Medicago truncatula: one gene and its partners. The protein of the gene in region 3 interacts with the protein of the main gene of each other region in a pairwise test. Links are inferred from orthologs where the notes say so. Each region holds a gene or a part of one and is shown on either strand. Other genes may lie near its edges.

Evidence for each region.
Region 1: the proteins of homeotic protein knotted-1 (region 3) and homeobox protein ATH1 interact in binary tests that used the Arabidopsis thaliana proteins (3 or more experiments, as listed by UniProt). The link is inferred for Medicago truncatula from reciprocal best matches to the Arabidopsis thaliana genes KNAT1 and ATH1.
Region 2: the proteins of homeotic protein knotted-1 (region 3) and cullin-associated NEDD8-dissociated protein 1 interact in binary tests that used the Arabidopsis thaliana proteins (3 or more experiments, as listed by UniProt). The link is inferred for Medicago truncatula from reciprocal best matches to the Arabidopsis thaliana genes KNAT1 and CAND1.
Region 4: the proteins of homeotic protein knotted-1 (region 3) and F-box protein SKIP28 interact in binary tests that used the Arabidopsis thaliana proteins (3 or more experiments, as listed by UniProt). The link is inferred for Medicago truncatula from reciprocal best matches to the Arabidopsis thaliana genes KNAT1 and MEE11.

What each region holds. Positions count from the first base shown.
Region 1 is NC_053042.1:4,466,261-4,473,759, reverse strand, and holds the start of homeobox protein ATH1, read right to left. Parts: upstream 3,025-7,499; 5' UTR 2,887-3,024; exon of another isoform or gene 2,677-2,886; intron 2,350-2,676; 5' UTR 2,233-2,349; exon of another isoform or gene 2,205-2,232; intron 2,074-2,204; 5' UTR 2,053-2,073; coding exon 1,060-2,052; intron 461-1,059; coding exon 105-460; intron 1-104. UniProt on the Arabidopsis thaliana protein: Transcription factor which may be involved in the signal transduction pathway downstream of the COP1 gene. Controls floral competency as a specific activator of FLC expression. Is responsive of the nuclear import of SHOOT MERISTEMLESS (STM).
Region 2 is NC_053045.1:64,570,789-64,578,520, reverse strand, and holds the start of cullin-associated NEDD8-dissociated protein 1, read right to left. Parts: upstream 3,020-7,732; 5' UTR 2,880-3,019; intron 2,725-2,879; 5' UTR 2,699-2,724; coding exon 2,663-2,698; intron 2,553-2,662; coding exon 2,172-2,552; intron 2,080-2,171; coding exon 1,914-2,079; intron 1,458-1,913; coding exon 1,328-1,457; intron 933-1,327; coding exon 818-932; intron 707-817; coding exon 549-706; intron 442-548; coding exon 318-441; intron 29-317; coding exon 1-28. Other genes in the region: ATP-dependent Clp protease ATP-binding subunit ClpX, read right to left, coding at 7,384-7,533. UniProt on the Arabidopsis thaliana protein: Key assembly factor of SCF (SKP1-CUL1-F-box protein) E3 ubiquitin ligase complexes that promotes the exchange of the substrate-recognition F-box subunit in SCF complexes, thereby playing a key role in the cellular repertoire of SCF complexes.
Region 3 is NC_053042.1:4,713,762-4,720,785, reverse strand, and holds the start of homeotic protein knotted-1, read right to left. Parts: upstream 3,020-7,024; 5' UTR 2,553-3,019; coding exon 2,130-2,552; intron 1,883-2,129; coding exon 1,760-1,882; intron 1,560-1,759; coding exon 1,427-1,559; intron 1-1,426. UniProt on the Arabidopsis thaliana protein: May play a role in meristem function, and may be involved in maintaining cells in an undifferentiated, meristematic state, and its expression disappears at the same time the shoot apex undergoes the transition from vegetative to reproductive development.
Region 4 is NC_053049.1:48,362,325-48,368,590, reverse strand, and holds F-box protein SKIP28, read right to left. Parts: upstream 2,291-6,266; 5' UTR 2,099-2,290; coding exon 1,742-2,098; intron 1,350-1,741; coding exon 744-1,349; 3' UTR 655-743; intron 624-654; 3' UTR 524-623; downstream 1-523. Other genes in the region: dynein light chain LC6, flagellar outer arm, read right to left, coding at 3,096-3,254. UniProt on the Arabidopsis thaliana protein: Component of SCF(ASK-cullin-F-box) E3 ubiquitin ligase complexes, which may mediate the ubiquitination and subsequent proteasomal degradation of target proteins. Required during the endosperm development in embryos.

The DNA of each region.
Region 1 (7,499 bases), about 250 kb from region 3:
TGCAGTTGCGTCACAATCATTGATATTGTAGCAAAATGCAGCTGATGCAGCCGAAATTGGGGATGCAATGTGGCAGCATATGTTTGATTATAGATAATACTTACGGATGGAGGAAATTCTGAAACATCCAATCACGTAGAACGGAAACAGATCTTTCTGGCAAGCCCCTTTGGGGCCTCCATAACTGATCTTTCCTTTTCAACTGTTGAAGAGCCCATTGCTTTTGAATGAATGAAGTTTCAACAGATAATTCCTTATCCTCTTCTGACCATGAACTGTTAAAATTTGATCCCATGGAAAGAATATGTTTGCTAATCCTCTCTCTCAAGTCCTTATATAGTCGAGAAACCGTTTTGACAGCAAAGTGCGCGTGTATTTGTGGATCGAGCTCAGTAGCAGCATGAAATGCAGATACGACAGTGTGAATCTCATCCAAACATTGACTATATTGACTGTCCACCTGAGTAAAATAAAGACTACTATCAGCATTCTCGAACAAAACTTTCATATAGAGAAATAATTTTTGATAATCAAAATTTCTTTTGACCCTTGTGTGTAACTTTGGAATGTAGGTATTTTGATGTTCAAATAACAACTGTTCATAGAGTACCATTCAACATCACACAATTTGCTTTTCAAAGTTTTGTCCTGAACTAGTATAACAACTTTTAACCATCGATAAATTTTATTTGGAAAAGTGAACAATTTTGCATCTAGGTTTGCTTCTACAATTACAAAAATTAATTTTGATTTTCTGCCTAAGAGGGTGTTGCATGTAATTTGATTTTATGTTTCGATAGATTCTCATGTAAAAGTTGATTGAGCAATAAATTCAAGGCTAAAAATCAATTGTAGAGGCAAAAGCTCAAAATTCTAGCTCTAAGTACCAACTCTACTAGAAAACATCCAAAGATGTCAAAATCCGTTCTACACATCAGAAATCAATTTTTTCCATGTTCAAGAGTGAAACCAGCAGACATATACTAACGCAATCAGGACCATAAACGGTTTTACGAAAACCAAATGAATGTAATGTAATCTAAGTGGTTAGCAATGTACCATCTGTAGAAGCATCAAGAGTTGAGATTGCTTTGATTCAACAGCATGCCTTTGCAATGAAGAATCAGCATAAGCTTCTGACATAGGACTCTCGTCGCGATTTATTCCTATCCTTCGCTTGGTTGTGTTTGACGAAGTTGATTTATTTCCTCGGCCTCTAACACCAGAACCGGAATAGTTTATCTCATCAAGATTTTCAAATGAAAATGTTGCAATTTGAACAAGTATTTCCTGAATTACAGCAAGGTATCTTGATCCTAATATTGCGGGCGAAAACTTGACATGTTTATCATTCCCTAAACTCATAGAAAGTTCCATACTACTACATGAGGCTTGTTCCAAACCTGATCTTGTTCCATTCATGCTATGAGTTAAGTCAGAACAACTAATCTCTGAGCATTGAACTGAAGTTGGAGATGTTGCAAGACTTAGTGAAAGCTCATTGCTACAATTCGAGGAACTATAAGCGAGATTCGTTAAGTTAGCAACATTTGATGATTGCCATCCATTTGGATCAATGTTCCCTATCGGCGAATATGACATGAATTCGGTTCCAACATTACTCTCTTGAGCTTTCAAAAACTTGTTAACATAGCTATTATTATCACCAAAAGTTGCACACAAAGGGTTTGAGTTTGAAGTATCATGCCAATTATTGAATATGTATGGAACTATTGCTTCTAAATTTTCTTGAAGACCGATTCTAGCCGGAACCGAAAAGTCATTGTTATTAACAATGAGATTTGAGGGATTTTCCACAATAGTCCTTCCTTGTTGTGATGTAACAAATGAATTATCAGCTATGGTAACTTGATTCATGAAACTACCATCAACATGTTGATCTTGTTCTCCACCAGAAAGTATTGGAATTCCATTTATGATGTTGTTTTGGTTGTTAAGGTCAAATGAATAGTAATGAATGAGTGGCTTTTGTGTTAGATGTTGTGTGATATCTTCCATGTTCATTTGAGCAGTGTACACATCATTCTCCATTTAGAAAACAATTAGAAAATGCTACAAAGAAGAAAATAAAATAGACTTAGAAAAATGATTTTTGACTACTTACTTATTTGATAACAAGAACAATTTTAAGATAAGGCTACAGTTAAAAAAAAATGTTTGTAAGCAAAAACAAATGAACCAACCTTGTCTTAATAAGCATAGGAACCTTACATAAATCAAACAGAGCCACCATATGAAACTTTACATATATCTGTCAAAATCTTCAAAAATTCAAACATTTTTGACAACTTCTTTGCAGGATTTGTAGTTGCCTTGTCCTATGAGAACCTAGAAAACAACAAAGAAACATGAAAAACAAAAAGATAAGCAATGTGATTAGAGTATCATTAAATTTGGTCTTAAAAGTTTAACAATGTAAAGAACAAAACCAGAAATATGCTGAAAAGGGTGAATATCAAAAGCATGCATTGGTCCAATATGCATGAACATTAACAATATTTTTAATTCAAGTATCCCAAACTCCAAAAGCACATTTTTTAATTTTCACAGATCCCATCAAGATTTATTGCATAGTGCATACCATTCATTTCTCTAATCCAATACACACAAAAAAGCTCAAAAAACTTTACATTATACCATATAAAAAAAAATCACCTCAAGAATAACAAAAGCATTGAAGAGTGCAAACTGCAAACTATAGTGTAGAAAAAATGTAAAAAAAAACCTAGAGAGAGAGAGAGAGGGGGGGGGGGCTAGTTTATGCACCTATGTATGTAAATGCAAAGATAGAGATGAATGAGATAGAAGAAGGTAGAAAAACCACAAAGAAATAAAACAAGGAAAGAGAGAGAGAGGCATTGATACAGTGTATAGTGTTTGGTGCAGTGCCACTCATTTCTGTTTCAGGCTTTAGAGGGCCCATCTTTTCACTCTCTCTCTGATCATTTATCTGAATCACTGCTATATTTCACTCTCTCTCTGTTCATAGCATAGCAGGTGCATACAGAAAGAAACATTTTAGCTTTTTTAGCAAAATTTAAAACAAGTTGGTAACTTGAGTAGAAACAAGAGTTACATGATACTGTGATAAGGTAAAGAAAATGTTGCAAATAAAGTGCAAAAACAAAACATTAGGCAAATGTATGGCGTGTGATGTGAAGATTTTGACACTGTTATGTTGTGTTGTGTCATCATGGCCTATAGTAACGTATAGGGTTCTATGTAATGAAATATTGAAGTATAGGTGTGTACTTTTTTTGTTGCTTTTGGGGGGTAGTAATAGTAAGAAGAGGGTGATTAAAGTGTGTGATGTAAGGGATATATAAAATGACGCAATTTTATATATGAATGGTCATCTCATCATCTCCATAGTTCTGCAATTTTAATGCAGCAAATCATGTGTTCAGTATTTATTCGGCGGGAGGGAACAATGCACTTTCATTTCATATCAACACATACTACTTCAGAGTTTCATATTTTTATTACTCAAAAAAAAGTTTCATGTTTTATTTAACAAATGTCATAAGATTTTTAAATTTAATGTTTGTATAGGTTAATCATTTTAGTTTTCCTAATTTCAAATTAGTTATTTATGATCATAAAAATATGTACATAATGTTTTAAGTCATAAAACATATGCATCGTTAACCTATTTCTATCAAATTCATTTTAAAAATATTTATATGAATGTTTGTTGCTATGTTGATAGATCCAAAGTTACCTCTCTCAAAACTAAAGTTATTCGATCTTAGTTTAAAATAAAATTAATCAATTATTTGATTTATAATTTTGTTAATGAAATATTTATCAATAAAATTAAGATTGAATTGGGAAACCCTAACCCTTTTTTTTTTTTTGTCAAAGGAAACCCTAATTTTTTAAGATATAAATCACAATACTTATTATTATTAAAAACGGGCGTCGTAACGTGCTGCATGCTGGTTTCAACAAAATATAAAAACGGGTAGTTACATTTTTTTTACTAAAATGGGTAGTTTTTATTATTAAAAAATAATAAAACTAAATTAATAGGGTTAAAATTGAAAGAGATTAATAAAAGCTATAAGCTTAAAAACTACCTAAAATATAATCTCACAAAAAGTTATAAGCTCATGAGAAAAACTTATTACCAAATACGTTATGTTTTGATCCAACAAACTCAAAACTAATCCAATAAGCTATAAATGTAAGCGGTTTGGACAAAACCGACGAAACCAAAAGTTTAAATCAGACCAAATCGAAAAAGTATTCGACATTGTCTGGTTCGGTTCAAAACCGAACCGGACTAATCTAAACATATCTTGTTTGGTTCGATTCTCATTTTTTCATTTTGAGATCCAAGAAACTGATAAACCAAACCGATGTTAACTCCACTTCCCATTTTACTAATATTATTCCTCACACACACACACACACACACACACAAACATAATTAGACCCAAAATTAAAAGTCCAACATAAAATACTCCTTGATCAATTCACTTTCTCCCATCTTCACTTTATTAATGACATTATCAAGTCCTCCTTTTATTCGACAATGTCATAATCCATTCACTTATGATTTGGAATTTTTGTGAGTTGATGAATGATGTATGTGTGGATCATGGATGATTGAAATATTTGATTTTGATGAATGATGGATGAATGGATTTTGGATATATGAAATATTTATTTTGAAGTCGTGGATGCATGAAATATTGAGTAAGGTTAATTATAAATAGATGTTTGAAAAATAGAGAACATGAAAAAAACACAAAGTTCCGTAAAATATTTTAATATGATGTATGTTGTATGCATGAAATATAAGTTTGTGAGAATATGAAATTTTTTAATTGTATTTTCAAATAAACTGATCAACCGAACTGATCCAAACCGAATCAAACCGATTAGTTTGGTTCGGTTCCTTTTTAGAAAAGAGTACAAAGCGAACAAATAAAGATTTCATTGGTTTGGACATTTTTTTGATTGAAAACCGATCCAAATTGAACCATTACACTCCTTAAACAAGCTTCTCGTCCTTACCAAACACAACCTTAAAAGCAACCAAGGTGAGCTCATCGGCTTCAAACGTGATTTTAATTGATTGGAAAGTTGTTAACCACCCAGTTGCAAATGTTAATCTTGGCAGCAGCGAACAATAATAATTTTATGAGGTGGTTACAATAATAATAATCACAATAGCTATTACTCATATAAAATATATTTCAAAAGACACACTTAAAGTAATAAGAACAGATTATAAAAGGTTATAATTTACTAGTTAGTTATTTTTTAGCTATAAAAAAAAGTGATGCGTTAATAAAGGGTTTGTTTTGACAATAACAAAGTGCCGTTAAATCAGTTCAGGCCAATAGCGATAGGTTTTTGTTTTGGGAGGAAGACATTGATGTTGTTGCTGCGGTCATATTTTCATTGTCAATCAAAGAATGTAGAACTTTTCTGTGTTCATCCTCTGGTTCCTAGCTTAATATAAAAATATACTTATTCTTTCAATAATTTTCTTCTTCTTCTTTGGGTTAGCCATAGCTACCCCTTTAGTAAGAAAGCAATCGCCCCTGAATCTTGGTATGTTCATCCGCTTCATTTTGGAATCAAAACTACTATTTGTACCTTTTCCCTCTAGTAAAAATCAATTTTACACACTCTATTTGTCACTTACAATATTTAAATTAGTCGTTGATAATTTGATTCATTACAATTTCTTCAAAAATAAAATAAAATTGATTCATTACAACATAGATGCTAATTTACTCGTGTATGAAAATTTCTATTCTTGTATTAAGCTAAAAAAAAGTCTGAGAAAGCATATATCAACCTTATAAAAAAATAAAAAGAAGTATAAATAAATTTGTGTTATGATAATCACCCTTAAAGTGTGTATTAATATTTATAAACAACAAAATTAACTCATCTTTTAAGTTAATCTTTTACATTTAGATACAACTTCAGTAAAATTTTGACTATTATTTCTCCAAAACTCTTTCACACATGTGCATATCATGAACAATATTTGCATGAGACCTCACCACCACTGGTTTGATGAATTACAAACACAATTTGAAGGTATGAAAATATCAATGATTAATTTGTATTATATTTTTTTGTGAATGATGGAAGCCCTTTAAGAATAATGATTTACTTTCTACTTGTTGTTTTGTGTGACAATTTTCTATACCATTGTATTTCGTTAAAAATGAAATCTATACCACTGTTCATACAGTGGAAAAGAAGATTTTATAGATAAACAATAAATGAAACCACATGATTTAGTCAAAAAAAAAAAAATGAAACCACATGTGTATGTATAAACATTTCATCATAATTTTGGTTACAGAACAGGTTCACTCCTTTTTCAGAAAGATTGAGGGAAATTATTGTTTTCCCTCTAAAGCAAACGTTTTCGGGTGTTTTGGTCAAGTTAACTGGTTGGATGATAATGAAGTCATGCTATGTAGAACAAGACAAGGAAAAGTATGGGCCCTTTAAAACATTTTAGAAGACACAGGGCACTAACTCTGAACATGTTTCAAACCCTATGCTCATAAACGACAAAGCCGTTTCTGTTTTGTGGACCTTAGCCTAAGTTTTAGTTGTAACCTATAACCTGTTTGGAACATCAATTAATAATTGTTGGTAAGTCTTAATCAAGCTTACACAAAATCTCAAAATATTTCTAGGGGTGCTAAGAGAAAACTCTTTCACATTTTGTAATACGGTCTCTCTTATTGATTAAAATGCATTAGAGTCACGTTTAATTTGGTGAAGCTTACATGTATTATAACTGGTAAAAATGAGTATGTTAAAAAATGTGTTGTTAATTTTTTTTTACTCGCACACAATCTCAAAATGCGAAAGAGCTTCTTGATGATTATGAGTTTTTATCAGTAACTTTTTTTTCCTCAATGGATATTTATCTTTTGAAGCTATTTTTCACATTCCGACATCAATCTAAGGTGGCATTTAGATGCACACTTTTAAATGCTCGTTTGGTTCCACTTTTTTGAGATATCAAAATTGATATTAGAAGTGTTGAATTGATTTTAACTTTTTAAAATATTGTGGTAGAAATGATTTTGTATCTAAAATTTGAATCATATTAAAAACTAGCTGGTTTTCAAATTTTGACTTTAAATGATTTTTACCTTCATAGTAGCATCATTTACCTCTATTTAGTCTAATTGCATGATGATCCTTTGCTTTTGTCGACTAAAATATACCCTTAGCCCCAAGTTATAAAACATACTTCTAACATTTTTTGTCTCTCTTTAATATAAGAACTTTCTCAAATTTTCACATGCAATAATTAGTTTAACAAAAATACCCTCATGTAATTTACAATTTAGAAACATAAATTCTTTTTCTTCTCTTATGATAACAATAATTAACGATAATTATATATAAAAAAATAACACACTTCTTACAAAAAAAAATTGTTACAAAAAATCTTTCTTAATACTCATAAATTTTGTAATTAGTCC
Region 2 (7,732 bases), on a different chromosome or scaffold from region 3:
TAAATCTGTCAATCAGTTTTGGACAAGCCTGTAAAGCAGGAAGGCGAAGGATATGCCGTCATTTAACTAAAAATAATAACAGGGAGTGAAGAGCCATATACACAAACAATTACACAGTTTCTTTGAGACAAAAGAAATTTTATTGGAAGAACATGTGGATACAAAAATTATCAAACAATAAATCTAGTATACCAAATGTTTACTCACAGCCCAGAAGGATATCATGATGCAAGAATAGCAAAATCTCAGAAAAATAAAGAGAACAGTAGTTTATTAACAAATTACACAAAATTATGAACAAGTGAAAGCAAAGTTACCTCATCATACAGCTTTGAAAGCATCTCAGGACGAGAAACAATCAATGCGGCTAAGCATTTAGCTGCTGCTCTGCGCACTTTCCAGCTGGCATCTTCATCATCTGTATATTCATTTGCACTTTCTCTGGAAAATAATATTTGATATATGATATGATTAACAAGAAGAATATTGTGCAAATATAAATACCATACAGGCAACCAACTGAATCAAATAGGCACAGAGACACATACTCATCATCCTCCTCTTCATGACCTTCATCATCTGTATCCTCCTCCATGTTGTCAGTAAAGTTTGGGTCATAACTCAGATATGTCAGTGCCAGGTGAAGAATTTCATCACAATACACTGAAATGTCCCTTGGACACCTTAGGAGAAAGCTTTCTAGCGCCTGCAGCAAAATTTCGACATTATTGAATATATAACTAGTAGTGTACCATAAATAAATATAAATACAAACATTTCATAGTATAAAATTATGGATAATAAACAAATATGGCACCTGCAGACTGTACTCACGAAGCTCTTCATCATTTTCTGAGGCGGTAGTACAATAGTTAATAAGGACTGGAACTGTATCTCCAAGATGGGGTCCAAATCGGTAGCCAACTGCTCGACTGTAACACCAATTAGCTCAAATTTGTTACTACAAACGTTCTATTTTCAACCAGTGTTGTTACTAGTGGTTGTGGGGGAAGGCAACGCCATACCACGAGGTGTTATAATGTTAGTGATGTTGTGTCACCATTTAATACAGTTTATATTTATCATGCAGCTTATTTTTATTTGTATACAGATTAACATTTATAAATGGCACCGATTTATTTCAACCATAATGTGACTTCCACTGTTTGCCTATATAGTTCAGTAATGTTGTCCGTGTCCGCTATATATGACACAGTGGCTTTTTGGTTTTGAACCACTTCCACTATCTACTAGTGATAACACTATTTTCAACATGAAAAAGAGACTGAAGCAAGAGGGAGAAAATAATGTGAAAGAAATTGCTAACCTTATAGCGCCAATCATTTGTATATTTGTACGAGTCATATCAGACTTGGCAGCCTTATTTTTCAATTTGGTAACAATTTCAACTGTTGCCTTTGCCAACAAATCATCTGACAAACTTGAAGAAAGAGATGCTGACAAGAAGAAAAACATGTTAACAGTTTTGCATTAATTGACAATAATGTTTTTGACCAAAATAAAAGAGGCCACTTCAGGGTTGATACCAAACATCATTTTAGTTGCTTTAGGTTAAAGAATCAACACAAGTTTTACGATGAAGTGTAAAAGCATTTGAACACAATCTCTTCATTTCAAACTCATATTTGGGAAAATCAATTAATAGAGTCAAACTCATTGAAAATAATGTTAATCAGATGCTCATTGAAACATGAAACACAAATCTATCTATCTTCCAGTTACTGAATCAAAGTTGCCTCAGACGCAACAAAAAAACTACAATAGGGTGTTTAACCAAGATGTATGGAAAATAATTGAGAAAACTCAAACTGCGGAAAGTAATATCAACTCCCCACTCATGAAGAACAAATTTTACAGAAAAACAAAAGCCAGCAAATTAAAATATGTCTTACCAAGGCATGCAACAGACTTCTTACGAACTGTAGCTTGGTTAGAATTCAACTGAGAAAGCAGGGAATTTAACAATAGGTCATGATCCGCTGCCATTAGATTCCCAAATTTATGAAGGACGTCGCATAAAATATCGAGACATTCACATTTAATCTCTGTGGTCATATCCTGTGAAGGGTACAACAGTGTTAAGCATGTGAAACAAAGAAAAGAAAGGAAAGTAGATAAACGAGAAGGGAGTTAGGTAGTTAGTTAGTTACTTTGGCAGTAATTCCTTTGATCAATTGTGGGGATAGAATGGAGAGAATGGACTGTGCAAGGGATTGGGTAGAAACTTCAGCAACAACAGTCTTCAAAGCAATGCTAGCAGTGTCGCGATGCTGATCCTTGCCATTAAGTATTTTGTCACAGAGTTGACTAGTCATTTCAACAACCCTAGACTCATTCATCTTCCTGACTAATGGAGCAAGACATTTAACAGCAAGACCAGAAACATCACCAGCAGCATCATCAAGCTGTTGAATGATTATATTTTTCAATTTAAGTTCGAGATCAGCATCAGCCCTAAAAGTAGGTTTGGTCAATTCATTAAGCAAATCAGATGTGGCCATATATCTGTAATCTTTATCCTTCCCAGTCATCTGTCACAAATACATACATACAAAGTTGAAGATTATTTGTTATCATAAACCTAATTAATACAACACAAACACATAAAAACAGTGTTAAAAGAAAAAGAGAGAAAAAGTACCTTTTCAAGAATACCAGGCAAAGCTAAGTTCGCCATATTTGCAGAAGCAGCAAACAACAACACTGTGATGAGTGAGTCGAGTCCAATGTCAGGGATTACAATACAAAGTTGAATTGAAATGAAAAATAATCAACAAGAATCAGAATCAACGAAGATTTAAATTCGATTGTATTGAATTATTAAAAAGGAGAATTGAAGAAGAGAGATATAAACGAACCCTAGTGCGAGAGTCGATCAGAAATCGATGCGGCGGAATCGATCAAACCAAATGCGTCTTTCTCTTTCTCTAAACTCACTCACTCTCAACAACTGTCGAACCCTTTTCGTTTCCTTTCGTTTCGTTTATAAACCCTACTTGCTTGCTTACACCCAAATTTATTATTATTACTGCTTTTTTCCTCTCTCTCTTTATCTCTTCTTCTCTTAATTTTTTTTTTTTTTTAAGTGAAGACCTAAGTGATCCTTCACAAAATACTTTAGATTCAATTTAATTTCTCGCAATATAAAATAGTCGTCGTTGGAAAAAGCAACCCCAAATATTTGGTACCAAAAGTGGTTAGCGGTGACCGTTGAATAAATTTATTCCGCTTGAGTTGAGTTAAAATCACGAAATGAATTTGCGTCATCACAATCTTCAAATAATGTATTTCCTATGGTAGAACCATGAATAGCGCATAGTAGGCAGTGCCCAGTACACCAGCAACTCTCATCGTATGAAATGATTTTAATGTCCAATTATGAAACCCTTAGAAAAAGATAATGAATCGAAATATAACTGCTACACCAAAATTAGGCCGACCTAGTGGATAAATCATGAATACATAAACAAAAACATCAATTAAACCAGAGAATGCGATTGGATTTTAAGGAAGCAATTGAACAAATCAAGCAAGTTCAAATTGATGTAATATAAAACCTATTAATCATAAAGCACCATGGAGAGCAACAAGAGTCCACAAACCACCTAATTGACACCAACTGGTAAAATCTCCACGTGCTTCAGGACTCAGACTAACAACAAAGAGTGTGCTAAACTATTACTAGAAGTAGAGACTATCGCAGTTAAGAAGTTACAACCTTCCAAATAAGAATCTTTCAATCCACGAGTATACCATGAAGTTACAAGGTGGTACCTTTGAACCAACCCCCCGCGACAAAATAGGCGCAATCCACCTTCACCACCACAACCACAACGTGAAGACCATGTGTTCCCGTAACACCACAATGAACACCTTCTCCGTTTAAATGCATGGAAATTTAAAAGTTAAAATTAGGAGAGATAACATGTTTAATGGTGTTGATTCTCACACCGTCGAAAACTGATGAGAAACATGCGGGAGGAGATCCATTCTCTTATTCATAAGTGGGCATCTTGTAAATAAAAGTTGAGGTTAACCAATTCTTTTGCACACCCGTAAATAAAACCACACACGCCTTCTTTGCCTCCAAGATATGCATAGCCTCGAGAAATTGATGTGTCCATCATGAGTGTAAGGATGATTTCACTCCCATCTCAAATTATCGTCATTCTCAGAGTTGGTGCAATTAGCTTGTAACTACACTTTTCCCTTTTCTAACGTCATGTATCACATTTTTCGATATATTTTGGTTTTTGTATTTTTAATGCAGTAGAGCTAAATGTAGACTATTTAATTGTCACTCATATTCTTATCAAAGGGAAAAGACTAATAAGAATGGAAGAAGACAATTGTAAAAGATTCGACGCTTAATTCAAATAAAGTGGAACACAAAGATAGTGTGTAGGTTGTAGCTTGATGTTTTACGAGTCTTCAAGTCAAACTAGTCTCTAATTTTCCCAACAAGATAAAACTAATTAGCCATTTATTTTCCCTTGATGGGTTCGTAATTTTTTTTTATGGGTTTCCGCCCTCCATTGTACCCAAAAAAAAAAAAAAGAATATTTACAATAAGTATCCGAATGAAACATAATTACTACTAAGTTGTGTATATTATTTCTTTCATTTTGAAAAGTGTGTTGCCGATCAGGCTGTATACTGATAGGAAATGTTCGTGCGCGAATATCAAATTGGGTTAAAGGAGTATTCTTTTTTATTTTTTATCTATAGATAGATTAACAGATTTCCAGTTTTTCCCCTAAGAAAAAATAAAAAATTCCAGTTTTTAAACTTCGTATTATGGTTGTTTGCATATTCTTGTCAATTTGATCATTATTAAGAAATCAGATCAACACCTGTTTTATGCAATCAACATACTCAAGTCATGATCCAATGCATAGAGAAAAACATATAAGCATTTTGTTTCACTTTTTGAGTTTTGGTCATCAACAAGATAATCACAAGAAGAGTCAAATATCTTAACAATACGTGTTCAATTTATGGCCAAGGAGAAATTTCATTAAAAAAAAAGTACAGTATGTATGCAATTGACTTATATTTCATAACTTAATCCCGCATTTGTCAATCCATATACTTCGTCAACTCATTCGTGATTTGCAAAGTTTCAGCAAGTCCACCTCTAAAGACGCTTTATTTCAATACCTAGAAGTAAAATATTAGAAAATGTCTCTATTTTTTCCGATTCATAGGCTTTCCTCGATACTGTCTCTATTTGGCTTTCTTTTATTTCAACGACTCTTGAGTTGTGGTTCCTACCACTTTTACACAATCAATGGCAAGCACACATACTACTTGTTCTGAGTACCGTTACTTGGTCAGCTTTTAATCAAGACCTAAGCTTCAAATATTTCTTCGAAAGACGCTTTTCAAACCGATTTAGAAATAGAAGGAAGAAACTATATATCTTTATCATGACAACAACATTGTCTTACCAGTAAAACTCATTGTCGGATTTAGGGCAAAAAGATTGTTTGTAGGCAAGTTTGTGTAACCCCCAAAGTTATAAGACAATAGTCGGTGTAGGAGGTTACCAGTTATCACATATCAACAATATATAACTCCCACTTCAACAAGCATTCAGAATTTTTCAGATATAAAAGAAAAAAACATTTTGAGGTCTACTTTCTTAATAATAATAAAAGCTAAGCGTGTTCTTGAAATGGTAAACTAGCATTGGAGATCTTTAACATTAGCTTCAGGTCTCTTAAACAAATAAAATATTTAACCAATTTGTTGATGTACTTAATGACAAAGGAGCATGCAAGTGCAGGATCATGAGTTCACACATTTATAGTAGGAACATTATAGCCAATTGAAGAAATCCACCAAAGGGCGTCATTACCATGCGAGTTGAATGCACAAGTCTGGCATATCATGATAAAAAAAAGGGCACTGTAAAAGTTTTCAATTTCGTGCTAAAATCATCTAGCCCTTGGTATCATTAACAAATCACGCTATCTAAAATACATAAAGCATACGCATGGACCTGCTAAAGAAACTGAATCTATCTAGATCTTCACAATTAAAACATGATGTAGAGGAGAATAATAACTTAATGGAAACCCATAGTGGTTGCCGTGTTTGCTAGAACAGATTCCATATTCTTAAAAATCAGTAGTGGATCCATGAATGCAGAACAACAACTTTTGCATAATTGCATCTGATTCAATGACCACTTTTTCTGAGTTGAGCTCCCTTTGCCAAATGTGAATCACACCAAAAGGCCAAGTTGTTCCACAATCAATACCTTTGGATCTAAGTCTCACTTCTGTGTTGGGAGGCATTCGCTACAAAATATGAATTCTCCAAATAAAGCTTATCATACAAATTATGCAGGCAAGAGGCATAAAAGCTTAACAGAGTTCAGTGTGCAATAACATGAAATTACATCTAAAACGCATAAAAACATTATCTAAAGACACAAGGATCAAAGTTCTCTTTTCCCCTTGAACAAAGCATATTTTTCAGCTGCAACTAAGAAGTATCAAAATGATGAAAATTATAAAAGAAACATTCAAGGGTCTTGTAGGTATACTAGCCAGTGGCCAATACAACTCATTCACATCATATAATACTTGATGGTTCTACTTTATAGTATGATCTCAGAGCACAAAAACACAGGTAAAGAGGACCCAAATTCAATAAAATCAACTAATGCCACATCTCTTGAGAATGCTATAAACTTGAATTTCTTTACACAACAAACACAAAAATATTAAAATATACTATTTCAGGTGCAACCCATTTTCTCCTAACAACCTCATATAACGACGAGCAAATGAAGGATATTTGAAACTAAAGTTACTTGAAAGATAAACACTCAATCAGAGCGAGAAGAATAAATAGATATTTTTTAACCTTCTTAAGCAATTGGCTGCAGATAGGTGCTCCGGCACGGAGGAGACGCATTCTGGCACGGTGGTCGCGGAAAATAAGCTCTGACAGGAACTCTGGTTTAGGGTTTATGTTTCTGGATTCTAGAGGAATCCATCCATGGGCTTAAAATCTTGGTTGTAGGTAGTAATAAAAAATTAACTTGGTGCACACACAAAATGTCTAAGTCATACCATCTTGTTTTGAATTCAACCAAGAAATGAAATAAGACTAAAACAGGGAGCCTATAATGATATGAAAATGAGCATCGATTATACAATGCTTATTGCGTGTACATACATAACAGTTTGATTCTAATACAGCACCCCCAAAAAAATAAACATCTCCTATATTACACGCATTTTGGGGGGACAGGGTTTAGTATGCAAAAACGAACAAGGAAAAAATTAAAGAAGAAAGGAAAAGCTGATAAAGAAGAAAAAGAAGGAATTGCAATACTCTCTTGACTATTTACAAACACATTGTTCTTGCTTGACACTCCAATGCGCCATCATCTCTGCATATGATTTTTGCTCCACAGCCAGTACCATTGACTTGTCCAACTGCCTCTTCATCAACCAATACCCCATTTATGTTATCAATATCAGTCTTGTCTGGAATCTGTAGATAAAAACAAAAATCAACATTCATATTGATAACCACCTTTTTCTTTAAAAAAAATCCACTTCCATATGCAACAGTTTTGGAGGGTAGGGAAATATAGATGAGAAAAACAATAGAATATGATCTTATATTTCCACAGGTAGCGTGTACATCAAACATTGCTTCAGTAAGAATATTTTCCAATAAGGCTTTTAAA
Region 3 (7,024 bases):
AAGAGAATAATAGATAAATGATTAAAATAAAGGGTTATGCTAATAAGTGCCTTTAGACAATCCACAATAGTGATGTCTTCACTATTTAAGATCCGGTACCTAAGACTCGAGAATTAAGACTCTCATTCTTAAGTGGATCCCACGCTGCTTTTTATTAAAATAATCATTATATTGTTGGAATATAAATGATGAAGAGTTAGTGGTTGGATCAATTTAGACCTTTTGTCAGAGGGACTCCATTGGAGTGACTCAATACTTATTAAGTACGGTTATTAAAATAGTGATGTGTTCACGTGGAACCCGTTTAAGAACTCAAAATTGAGGATCCATTGTAGATGTTCTTAGGACACTTGTTAAAGAAACCAAAAGTAGTGACTATGTTTGTATTGGATTCATGTTAAGCAACTTAAAAAGAACAATTTTACATCGGAAAACACAATATGACAATTTTTAAGAAGTTGAATGCACACCTTTTAATATGTGTATTTTTATAATAAGTATCTTAACATGTGCCTTGAAGGCTCAAGTTAGCATTTACTTAAAAACAAAGGCACAATCGCACTAAAAACTCCTTTCTACAAAAAAAAAAAAAAAAAAAATGGCACTAAAAACTCCTAACACTACTAGTACTCCTATGTTGGGGTTGGATTGGAACGGCATCCAATGTGTTTTTTAAGAAAGAATGCAAAAGAAAAGAGAAAATTAAAAAGTGATTAAAACGGCATTAGCGGTAAGACGGCCGAAAAACTGACCAATGTAATGATGAGAAAGAGTAGTAATTCCACAAAACCCAATGAATCCTTCGAAACCGATAAACACGAGAGTTTTAGTCAGTAAAATACATTGATTAACATGGAAACCCTAGAAGAATAATTGTCAGTCAGAACTCAGGAGCTAGCTTGGGAAATAGAAGCCTAACATGGAGACGCCAACGTGTGGATTTGGGTTTTAGCAACAATAAAAAATGAAATAGTAAAAAATTCGTCTGGAGTCGTGAAGTATGAACAAATACAGCCTCTAGAAACATACCAGTAAATGTGATATTTTTTATAAAAAAAATAAAAATAAAAAAAAATATCATATTTAGAAAGTACTAGCGATTAGGGTTCTGTAGATGATGAAGAAATATCATCTTCAGTTATATGGGTCCCCTACCCTTCTGCTCCCACGATTTGAAAGCATGTGAGATTTTTGGTCAAAATTTCCAGGCTATGTTCAGAAACACTCGAGTTTACGAATTTCAAGAGCTTTCACAACCCGTCACTCACACATCAGTCACATTACTCTTAATAGTCAATAATCCAGAATTAATTAATGACCTCGTTTTAATTTCAGTGATATTAGTAATATAATAAAACAAAACTATTGAGAATGAATATTGAATTGAATATATTAAGAGAAAAGATAAAGTACTACTACTACTCACCAGGGAAGATCCGAAGGGGTCCATTGCAAAGTGTATTTAGCTGTGTTTCTATTCTTCTCATGAAATCCATAGCCTCTTGTATAGGCCTTGTTAATTCCTCTCTATACTTCACAAGCATATCATAATATGCTTCCTGTTAAACATAAACATAAACACCATTTCAACGTCCAAAACCACAATCTATAAGTTCTATAAATATAGATACAGTAATCAACTAGATTTTTGCCGACATAATTTAAACTTATTGATTATCAAGATAAAAACCCAACGAAAATAATTTTAATTCTAGAAAGAAAAAAAACATAAACTAAAACAAAAAATACCCCCTTGTACCATGAATTGGTCTAGTTCTGGATCTTTAGAAGTTTCTCTCGAGTTAACTGAAGATCTTTGCCGTGCTTCAAATTCTTGCCTAGACGCAACCAAACGAGCCACCACTTCCGGTGGAGCTCCAATCTACATATAATTTGTTTAATTAGAGAGAGATAGCAATTAATTAATATAAAAATTAAAAATATATATATAAAAAATGGGGTATGCTTATTTAAATTGTTATCATGATGGTGGGAGTCCAAATTTAATTCTTGACTGAAACAATCATTAATTATTGATTATAGTATTTTACTTATCTTGAAGGGAAGGGTTAAGAAAAATAAATTGTTATAATGATGAAAATGAATAAAAATAATAATTAATTAGTGACCTTTTGACAATCCATGTAAGCTTGTAAAAGACTAGAATATTGAGGATGAGCAATGATTTTGGCTTTTATAGCTTCAGCTTCAACATTAGAACTGCTTGGACTCCCTCCTCCTCCTTGATGATGATGGTTATGCATAATATTGGTGTGTGGAATAATATTTGTTCTCATTAAAGCTGGGTAATGAAAAATCGGAGTGTGAAGTTGTGAAGTACTATTTGCTTCAGTTTTCACAGCAGAGTGTTGTTGATGTTGTACTTGATCAGACTGAAAACAATTGTCTGATCCATGAAAGTTGTTCATTGGAATCTGATTATGTTGATGATTGTGTTGGTGTTGGTGTTGGTTGTTTCCACTAGCAATGGAGTATAAGAAATTTGGCCTTGAATTTGGATTTGGATTTGGATTATTAGTGTATTCCTCCATTTAACTCAAATTTAAGAAACCAAATATCATATATGTTTAACTCTCTCACTCAACTCAATTCTCAAAATATAGGGAAAATGAAAAAACCCTACTTTGTTGTTTTATAGAGTAATAAAAATTATGGAAAGGTCAAGAACTTAATTGAAACCCTAATGAAAACCATCTTTGAGATTGTTTATATAATGAATGAAATTTAGGGACAACACAAGTGTAATTTTGTGTGTGTTGGGGTGAAGGGGTCCAAGAAGTTTCAAAAGCCAAAAGTTTAAGAGGTTGAGAGATGAGTGAAGATGATTGGAGCTTATAGATTTTGGGCATTGACAGGGTGGAGCAAGTAGAAACCAGCAAAACTCTCACATGATGTGTTGTTGTACGAAGAAGAGAAAGATTAGAGAGAGAGGAGAGAGTGGTGGCTTTAGTCCAAACCGGCAATGTCTTGGAGATGGGGGTGGTTGACAAGACTTTGTTTGGTTGATAGAAATAAATATGAAGATATATTTAAATTAGAGAATGTTAATCATTGCCTTCGGAACATTGGATAAGGAAATAAAAATAAAAATATAACATTGGAAAATAGTAAAAAGTGATAAATTTAACTTTTTAAAAATTAAAATGTTGTTGAAACTAATGCAAAGCTTCTATAATTATTGCTTTGAGAGCAATGGTTAGCGCGACTCATTTAAATATTTTAAAAGCCAAATGCAGTGTAGTGTAGCTAGGTTTATATTTTTTTAATTTCTTTGCTTTATTTGCTAAAGTTAGTTTTCTTTGCTATTAATTCTCTGTAGTTTGTCTCCTAATTGATTTTCCTTTTCGGGGTTCTTGATCAATTGCTTCCTTAATTAGTGCCCGCAGGATAATGGTTAAGGAAATCAAAAAATAAAATTAAGTTGAAAATATCACTTTTTAAACTTTTAAGGAGTTGAATGCACAAATTTCAATAGGAGATTATTTACTTCCTTAACCATTACTTTGAGGGCACTTGTTAGCATTTCCTATTCTTTATTACATAGATTTTTTCTAGAATTGTTTATTACATAGTTCAAACGAAACTATTAAGTTGTGTCATGTGGGGTGCATATATATTGTTAAAATAATTATAATTTAATTTTAATATATGCATCTTGATTATACTTTCACACCTCTACTGTATTGTTATAAAAATATGATATTTGTATAATTATTTTATGATAATTTTTTTATAATGTACTTTCTTGTTTATACTATGATTTTATCATTTTGTTTAATTTTTTTTAATTGATTTAGATCAACAATAATAAGATTGTCATAAAGCTTGTCATCAAATCAAATAAGTAATAAAATATTGCTACTCAAAACTGTATGTAAACAAACTCTTTTGTCTCAAAACTGTATGTAATCAATTATTTTAGATATCAAGTCTTTTGTCTTGAAGAAACCTTTAAATATTAAAAAAATGTAACATTGTTCCCAAAAACATCATGAACAATAACTAAGACCCTCAATAAATTTATGTTTCACTACAACAGTGAATTGATAAGTGGTAGAAAGTAGTAAATTTATGTTATATATTAAGCACTTTTGATTACTTGTTTTACAAGTTATTCATGGAAATGCCAAGAATTTATGCACAAATGTCTATTTATGCTTTTTATACCTTACTTTATTCCATTGTGCAGGAAAATGATGAACAAGACAAGAATTCAACAAAGAAACTTGAAGATTTGCAAAGGTTAGCTCGCCATAGCGAGCACAGGGCGAGGACAAGGCGAGCTAAGTTAGAAAGTTTACAATTTCATAAGTCCAAGCCTTGCCACAGTGAGGAAGGAGCGAGCTAACTCGCCATGGCGAGCTAAAATCGAGCTTGCAGCGAGGAGTTCCAGAAAATCCAGTTTTCAGAAGTCTCAAGCAAGCCACAACGAGGCCATGGCGTACCAACTCGCCATGGGGAGCCAAGAAGTGAGTGGAAGTAGCAGTTCCAGAAACTCAGGAATTCAGGAAAACAAAACCTTCCCATAGCGAGCAATAGCCTTGCCATGGCGAGTCAAGGCGATTGCAGGGCACTTAATGACGTGACATAAACCCAATGGCGAAGAAAGCTCCACTCGCTACAATGTTCGATTACTCCATAACCTTCATACTAGATTATGAACGCCATGAATATATCATTTAACTTTAATATCTCGTGTGCCTCATGAATTCTCATCTAAGGATTTATACTTTATGAAGATGTCTAACCCTCATAAAATAATAAAATTCCATAAAAATAGAAAAGATTCCACTGCTATAGGTACAATATTATATACGAAGGAGATATAGATTTTAGGCTGAATTTTTTAAATTCCAATTATACCCATACACAAATTTTCCTATATCTTTTTTTTGAAGAAGCTAAAATGAAAATTATTTAAAACACAAAGAATCCTAGCAAGCACAGGGAATGCTAAGCTAGAAGACTTAAAGAGCAACATACAAAGGGAAAGTGTCTCTATATATGTGGAACACTCAAATAAACACTCATGTATCAAATATAAATTTTTACGAGCAAACCAAAAGAACACTCCGAACCGTTAAAAAACCTCTCCAAATAATCATCAAATCTACCAAAAACCCATGTAACCGCACTTTAAACAAACCACACTCCGTGTATTTGAAAACCAAGAAAACCTACAAAAAAACATAACCACCACAAAAACCAATAAACTTCACTGACCATGAAATTTATCTATACTATATATAAAGAAAATAGTGGGTTTCGGGGAGATTTTGGTCTGCTTTTTTTGCTATTCCAATTAAACTCTTAAATAAATTTTGATATAATAATATTATGTTGTTGGTGTTATTAAAAAGGATATAAAAAATGTTATATTTTTTATATTATTGTTGTCATTGAAAAATATAAATATGGTTTGTTGAGTTTGTTACATTTAAAAGTCACAAATATTTATCCTTATAATTTTTTATTTATATCAAAAAATTTATATAAAATATCTTTTGTAATTTAAACGCAAAATTTCAATAAAATATTGTTAATAAAATATCTAAATGACATATTATTTATCTTCAAATGTAGGTAAAATATCTAAAACATACTAATTATCATATGATGCCCTATCAACAAAATACACCCACGCAATGTGAGTCATACGCATCCTAAAAATCATCCCTGGAGAGAATCAACTCTTTCTCCAGTCTTTTTTTATATCATCCACAACTTTACTCACAATAAAAATATCATCAAGAACTTAACAGTCTTTCACAAAAATAAATTGAGTATATAAAATGATCTTCCCAATAACCAACTTCAATTTGTTCACTAAAACCTTTACCAATACTTGATACATACACCCGACTAGAGAAATGAGAGGAAAATTATACAAACTTTGCTAATATATAAGCCATCAACATCCATAAACAATAAACATATATAAATATACTGAATTTATCTAAACCAACCCCTATGTTGTTCTGGCTATCGAAAATTTAGAATCATAAGAGGAAAGAATGAAAGGAATTACTAACTAAATAGTTGAATAAAAGTTCTCGATGAGTTACTGCTAATGAGTTCACTAAATAATGAATATTTTTTTTTGGTAAGAAATAATGAATAATTTAAAAGAACTTGAGTTTGATTACTTTTTTCGCGATTTAAATTTAGATTATCAATGTCCCGTTCTCCTAAGAATCGAAGGTTAACATAATTTTTTTTGAATCACTATCTAAATTTGATCATCTCTAACTGAAAAAAAAAAAAAACTTACTTATGCATTGATCGCATTCCAAAATCCAAATATTATAAATTATAATAAAAGAGTGAGTATTTGTGCCAGTGTTATATAGAATGCTTTTTCCACCGATCGTTTAGCATTATGTGGAAGGTATGGAAATGTACAAGTGAATTAGAATGATATATTTGACGTAGTAATTCATTATATTTAATCAGTACTATTGTATTTACTCGACGTTTGCTCGGGTTAGACATATTCAAGATGATAAAAAAATTATATCTATGATGTCCGCAAATAAAATTTATCATGGATTGGTATAGGATGAATATCTTAATAAATACACACAAATATAATAAAATATATCATATTATAAATACTCGTAAATTTATAGATACACATACATATAAAATTAATTGAATTTAGTAAAAATATTAACACATATAGAATAAAATTAACTTTTAGGAATTTGTGTTATTTCTATTACGTAAAATATTAGGAATTCAATGAAAAATTTAAGTAAAATATTTAATAGATAAGATCAAAAGTTTGTTGAAATATTCAAATATTAGTTTTAAAAAATAGAAAATAATAAAAATATTACGAATAAACATGAAACTGACATGTGGCATAAAAACCTTACTTTATATATATATATACAGACATATACTATTGATTGATTGATTTTTTTTTATTTTTTTTTTTTAATCAGCAAAATTTTATTAAAAACCAAGTTTCTGCACAAGACGAAGAGAGACCGGTGTTATA
Region 4 (6,266 bases), on a different chromosome or scaffold from region 3:
ATCATTATTGATGAAAGCATGCAATTCCTACCTACATTCATGAGGCAATATATGTTCTTACCTATCAAAACGGTGGAAAATACTGAGTGTGTTTGTATACATTCAATTTGACAAAATTATGTTGGCACCATGATTTTGGTAAAACGTCAAAGTGTAGATTTTGCCAAAATAATTGTGGCACGCCGTGCCCTGTAAAATTCACTGTCAATCCAAATATGCACCGTGTCCTTTGGTGTTTTAAAGTTCCACTCACATCTATTTTATTAGTGTAAGCTAGTGTCTATGTTTCCAGCTTTCTATATGATCAACAACAACGTTCCTTCAAAAACTGAGTTCAGGAAAGTCAAAATTGAAGGCAGCAAGCCTAGCTAAGGTTAAACACTATCATCAATGTCAGAAAAACCGTTGAGAGATGTTTGGTTTTGACTACATATGTGAGATATTTCTATCAGATATATTTTGATTTATTTTAAACACAAAACTGATTGAAATGAAGTATTGGTCTCTCAATCTCAACACTAAATTTGTTTTGAACTCAGTTCGTTAACTCAGACTTTTTAAGCATGGACGAAATCATGTTGGCTCAGTTAAATCATGCCGCTCCAAATATGTAAATTCATGAATGCAAATGATATGTTAAAACAATAATTTCTGTAGGCATAAACTTTATACAAATAATTGTAGTAACTCAAAAATTCTAGGCATGATGATATTATAACCTTAATCATCACAAGTCATTTTCATTATAGAACATCAGTGTATGTATATCCGTGAGAATTTTCATCACAAACTCTGCAGAGAAATGAAGACTCTGAAGAAGTGCACCACCAATTTGTGTGCTGCTTACAATATGGTTTGTTACAGAAATTGCACTTGGGAAGCTGTAACCAGCATTCAAGGCACAAGAAATCTCCGCATGCAACATCTTCAAGTTCTTCTGATCCAACACATCCACCACAGTTTTCACACCTTGGAATACAAAATATGCATCCCCTACATTGAGCTTGGCACAATTCCTTCCTATTGCAGTCCACTTTTGGGCAATCATATACCATTCTCACCTCAAAGCACTTGGGACATTTCTCCAAATCAATAATCCTCTGATTTTCGTTGTGCTTGAATGCTGAAACGCTGCCACGTTTATGATAGTAGATAGGCTGTTGTGTTAGCTCGTCTTCTAATGGGAGGTTTTTTCTGAGGTTTGAGGTAAGCACGTCAAGATGATCGTTTTGTAGGTTGTAAATGCCGTTTAAACTCAAGGTGGTTAAGCAGTTGGCTCTTTGGCAGAGTGTTTTCACAGCTGTTAGAACTCCTTCAGGGGTTATCCCAGTGCATGCTGGTATATGAAGCTACAAATCAAATTAAACCAGAAATCAGACTATGTTCGAAGAACCTAAAAAACTCAATTTTGTATTTTACATTGAATAATGAAAAAAAAATCAAAATTTTATAAAAACCAAAGGTGAACAATCCTCGACACAACGGTAAGGTCACTGCCTTGTGACACAGAGGTCCCCGATTCAAAGCCTAGAAATAGTCTATATGCTTGCGGTGGTAAATTTGCAAACACAGAGACTATTGATCCGTTGAATTGAATGAATTCCACATTCCTTCGCTCACTATCCTAACTGTTAAGCAGCTAAAACTGACATCATACGTTCACTTATATGAAGCAGAATTTGCTTATAATCAAAACCATTGAATCACAGCAGCAAAACAGAAATCTCTCTAAAAACATTACCTCTTCAATAAAGGGGTTTTGTTCAACAACCCTTTGTAGTCCATGGTCAGCAACGTGGATGCAGTTCATAAGAGCAAGTGTTTGAAGCCTACCATTTGCTTTGGATGTGATCTTCAATAGTGTGTCATCTGAGAGTCTTGAATTGAGAGGGGTTTCAACAATAATTTTAAGCCATAGCAATACATCATTGTTGACTGCATATCTCAGTGATGTGCAAACACGAGACATGGTTAAAACCTCGTACACTCGAAGGTAAGCTATCACCAGAAACATGGCTTCATGAGGAGGACCCTCTTGTTCTTCTTCCTCAACTGTGGTGCTCATTTCAGAAGAAGAAGCTTTGCAAGACTCTTCCATATTTGATTTGATTCACACGTTACTTTATAGTTTATAGTATAAATGCAAAACAAGCCAATCATATCATATGATATTAATACTAATATATTTATAAAAGAAGGAGGTAAGCTTGGATCTTGATCGAAGATGTTGCATCTGTATCTATGTGGCTGGGAAACTATTTTATCAACATTCTTTTGAAGATATTGTCATATTAATGTGACACGTTAATACGGCTACATATATATGGTTGAGGTTAATGCACGTATGAGAAGAAATGTTACACTTTTCCCTTCCTTTTCCCTCTCCAATAGGAATAAGACATAAATAAGCAGCCAATTTTGACTGTTTCCTTCTCACCCTTCCTCGACAATCTTTGCATTGGACTCAAAGTAAAGGTTATTTTTTTATAAAAATCATTCACTGCTCATTTTCAAAGAAAATCCTTGCTTTTTATGTGAAATTACATTTTCTTCCTAAGAGTCAATTACCTCAACAAATTTTTGCAGGTCTATGTGAACTAAAAAAATGTATAGTATATAGTAAAAATCTACCTTGCTCAACCAAATTGTTGAAATTGCTAGACCGTACACTTTCACCTAGGTTTGAACTTAAGATGTGAGTTTTATGTAGTGTTTATCACTTCGTTTACATACCATAACCAAAAATGAAGAAAGAAAACTCTATTATTTACAGTACAGATCAATAACAACTGTGAATTTAAAATCCGAGCCCCAATTATTAGCAGCAACAAGAAGTTTAATGGTTGTAGGCAAAGGCAGAGGAAAGGGAGTGATGGATATTCAATAGCACTCCAACTTTATAATTTTCTTTATGTAATCTTTCACAATGCTGTAAAGCAACAATTTGTGTACCAATAATGCAACTATCAACAAGCATTTTTAGACTTTTTTTTATTTATAAAATTTATCTTCTGAGCTGAAGTGAAGAATACCATGTTGCTTGTTACAACAAATTGCATCAATGTGCATAAAATATAAGCTCAAACATTTGGAAATTATGAATGGTCTAATGGTTCAACAGTTGTCTTGAAGAGAAGGATGTGAACTTTGTCAATGGAAAAATACAAGAAACCACCAACAGAATGAGTGACATAAGAACCAAAGCTAGTACCTACAATGCAATGCCAAGCTGGACCATAGGTAGAGTCAAATTCCTGTAATAACAAAATATTCCCAAAGTTAGCAGGTAATAAAATAATACCAAACAGAGTTATAATTCATTTGTTAAAATATTGTAAGCTTGGTAAAGAAACAAGATAAAGTTACACCTGACAAAATAACACTCAGGATATCACATTATTAGAAAATTCAAGATTACAACTTTAATATCATTTATCAATGCCTGAAACCTCCATCAATGAAATGAGGGACCATCCAATCTAACATTTTTATGTCACAAATAACTTCCACACCAAGCCAACTAAGTTCATTAATAAATACAACCAACAAAACTATTGCCATACTTTCCTGGTTTTGGCCATACAAAAGAGGCACATCACATGCACAAGTCCAAAATTCACATGCACAAGTCCAAAATATGCAATCTTTGATAATGTACTTACATCAATTCACATAAAAAAGATAGTGCTAGGATGGAAACTTTTGGCAGTAGTGAACTTAGATTTGTATTGATTGTGTACCAGAAATTGTAACATTTCGTAGTTTTGAATGAGCACAAGTTTGAGTGATGAAACTACGAAATATTTTTGCATTTTAAAGCTCAGAAATGTTGAAGCAATAATTTTGGTCGTCAATATGAACATGAACTAATTAAAATACAAGGTATGTATTATGAAACTGAAAAAATGAAATGATTTTCCTTAAGAGTTCAAGTAATTACAAAGCTATATATAGCTAATTGCAAGAATACCATAACATACTATGGTTCTGCTGTAGCTTATTGAGCAAGAAACTAAGCTACAGCTTATTACTTGGAGCTCAAGTTATCTGCATTTGTAGTGTCATGTAATAGCCCCCCACAAGTTAGAGGTTGGTACAAATCAAGCAACCCTAACTTGGATAAAAGAGTGCTGACTGCTGAATGGCTGAGGAAGCAATGACTTGGTGAAAAAAATCAGCAAGTTGGTTTTGAGAGGAAACAGGTAAAAGCTTCATGATTCCAGCTTGAAGTTTCTCTCTAACCAGATGACAGTCAATCTCCAAATGCTTTGTTCGTTCATGAAAAACTGGATTAGCAGCTATATGAAGGGCACTCTGATTATCACAGAACAAAACTGGAAGTTTGGAGCTTTGAATGTTGAGATCTTTGAGTAAGTAGAGTATCCATTGCAGTTCACAAGTTGCTGAAGCTAAAGCTCTATACTCAGCTTCAGAGGAAGATCTAGACACAGTGGTTTGTTTCTTTGTTCTCCATGAAATCAGAGAGTTGCCTATGAAGAAACACTGACCAGAAATAGAACGCCTGCTATCTACACATCCAGCCCAATCTACATCAGAAAATCCTTGTAGATGAAGAGAAGAGTTTCTGGGGAAAAACAAGCCTTTGCCTGGACAACATTTGAGATATTTGAGCACTCTTAAAGCAGCATTGTGATGTGTCTGGGTTGGTTTAGAAAGAAACTGGCTCAACTGTTGAGTGATGAAAGTGATGTCTGGTCTGGTGGAATTGAGGTAAAGGAGTCTGCCAATCAATCTTCTATAGGAAGGAATATCTTCATATGGTGGAGATGAATCATTATGAAGTTTGAGAGAAGCATCTGAAGAAGTAGAGACAGGTTTGGAGTTGATAGTGCCTGAATCAGATAACAAGTCTAAGCAATATTTTCTTTGACATAAAGAGATGCCTTGCTTAGAATGAGCAACTTCAAGACCTAGAAAATACTTCAATTGTCCCAAATCTTTGATCTTGAAAGAAGAATGCAGAATGGATTTGATGTGTTGAAACTCAGATAATGAATTGCCAGCCAAGATTATGTCATCCACATAAACCAGAAGAATAGTAAATGAGGAATCAGTATGCTTAGTAAACATAAAGTGGTCTGCAGATGCCTGAATGTAGTTTTGTTGAATGAGAATGGAAGTTAACTTCTCATACCATTTTCTACTTGCTTGTTTGAAACCATACAAAGATTTAAGCAGTTTGCAGACTTGATTGGTGCAGTTTTATTTCTAGTGGACTTTCTTGGTGATGAAGGAATGTCAGGAGACTGATGAACAGGTGAAGGAGGAGGTGAATTTGTAGTGTCAGGTGAATTGATAGGTGAATTTGTAGTGTCAGGTGAAGTGATAGGTGAAGATGATGATGAGTAGAGCTCATCATCAATAATAGGTATAGGTGGGGGAGTATCAACAGACTTAGTAACAACAGCTTGAATAGGTGAAAAATACTCCCATTGAGAAGTGATAGACTCACTATTGCTTGGATAAGGTAAAAAATATTCATGAAAAACAACATGTCTAGAAACAAATATTTCTCTGGAATGAATGTCAAGTAGAATGAAACCTTTGTAACCTGACTTGTAGCCTAAGAAAACAGTTTTCCTGGCTCTGGTTGAAGCTTGGTTCTATGTGATTGAAGTGAAGAAGCATGACAAAGACAACCAAACACTTTGAAAGTATCAATATCAGGAAATTTATGATGAAGAGCATAGTAGGGAGACTGACCCTAAAGTAAAGGAGTAGGTATTCTGTTTATAAGAAAAACTGCATGCAAGAGGGCATATGACCAATAAGATGCAGGGAGTTTGGATTGATACAAAAGAGCTCTCCCAACATTCAAGATATGATGATGTTTTCTTTCAACTCTACCATTCTGTTGAGGGGTTTCAACACAAGATTTTTGATGTAAAATGCCAAGTGATTCATAAAAAGATAAAATAAGAAATTCAGGGCCATTATCAGATCTAATGCATTTAGGAGTGACATGAAATTGAGTTTGAACCATTTTGATGAAAGATTTGACATGATGGGAGACCCCAGATTTAGTTTTGAGTGAGATAATCCATAAGAATCTACTGTGATCATCAACAATGGTGAGAAAATATTTGTGACCATGAATAGAAGATATAGAAAGAGGACCCCAAATGTCAAGATGCAAAAGTTCAAAATTAGAAGTAGCATGAGAAGTACTAATGGAAAAGGGTAAATGTTTTTGTTTAGCAAAATGACAAATGTCACAAACAGAATTTTTATTATCAGAAACAATA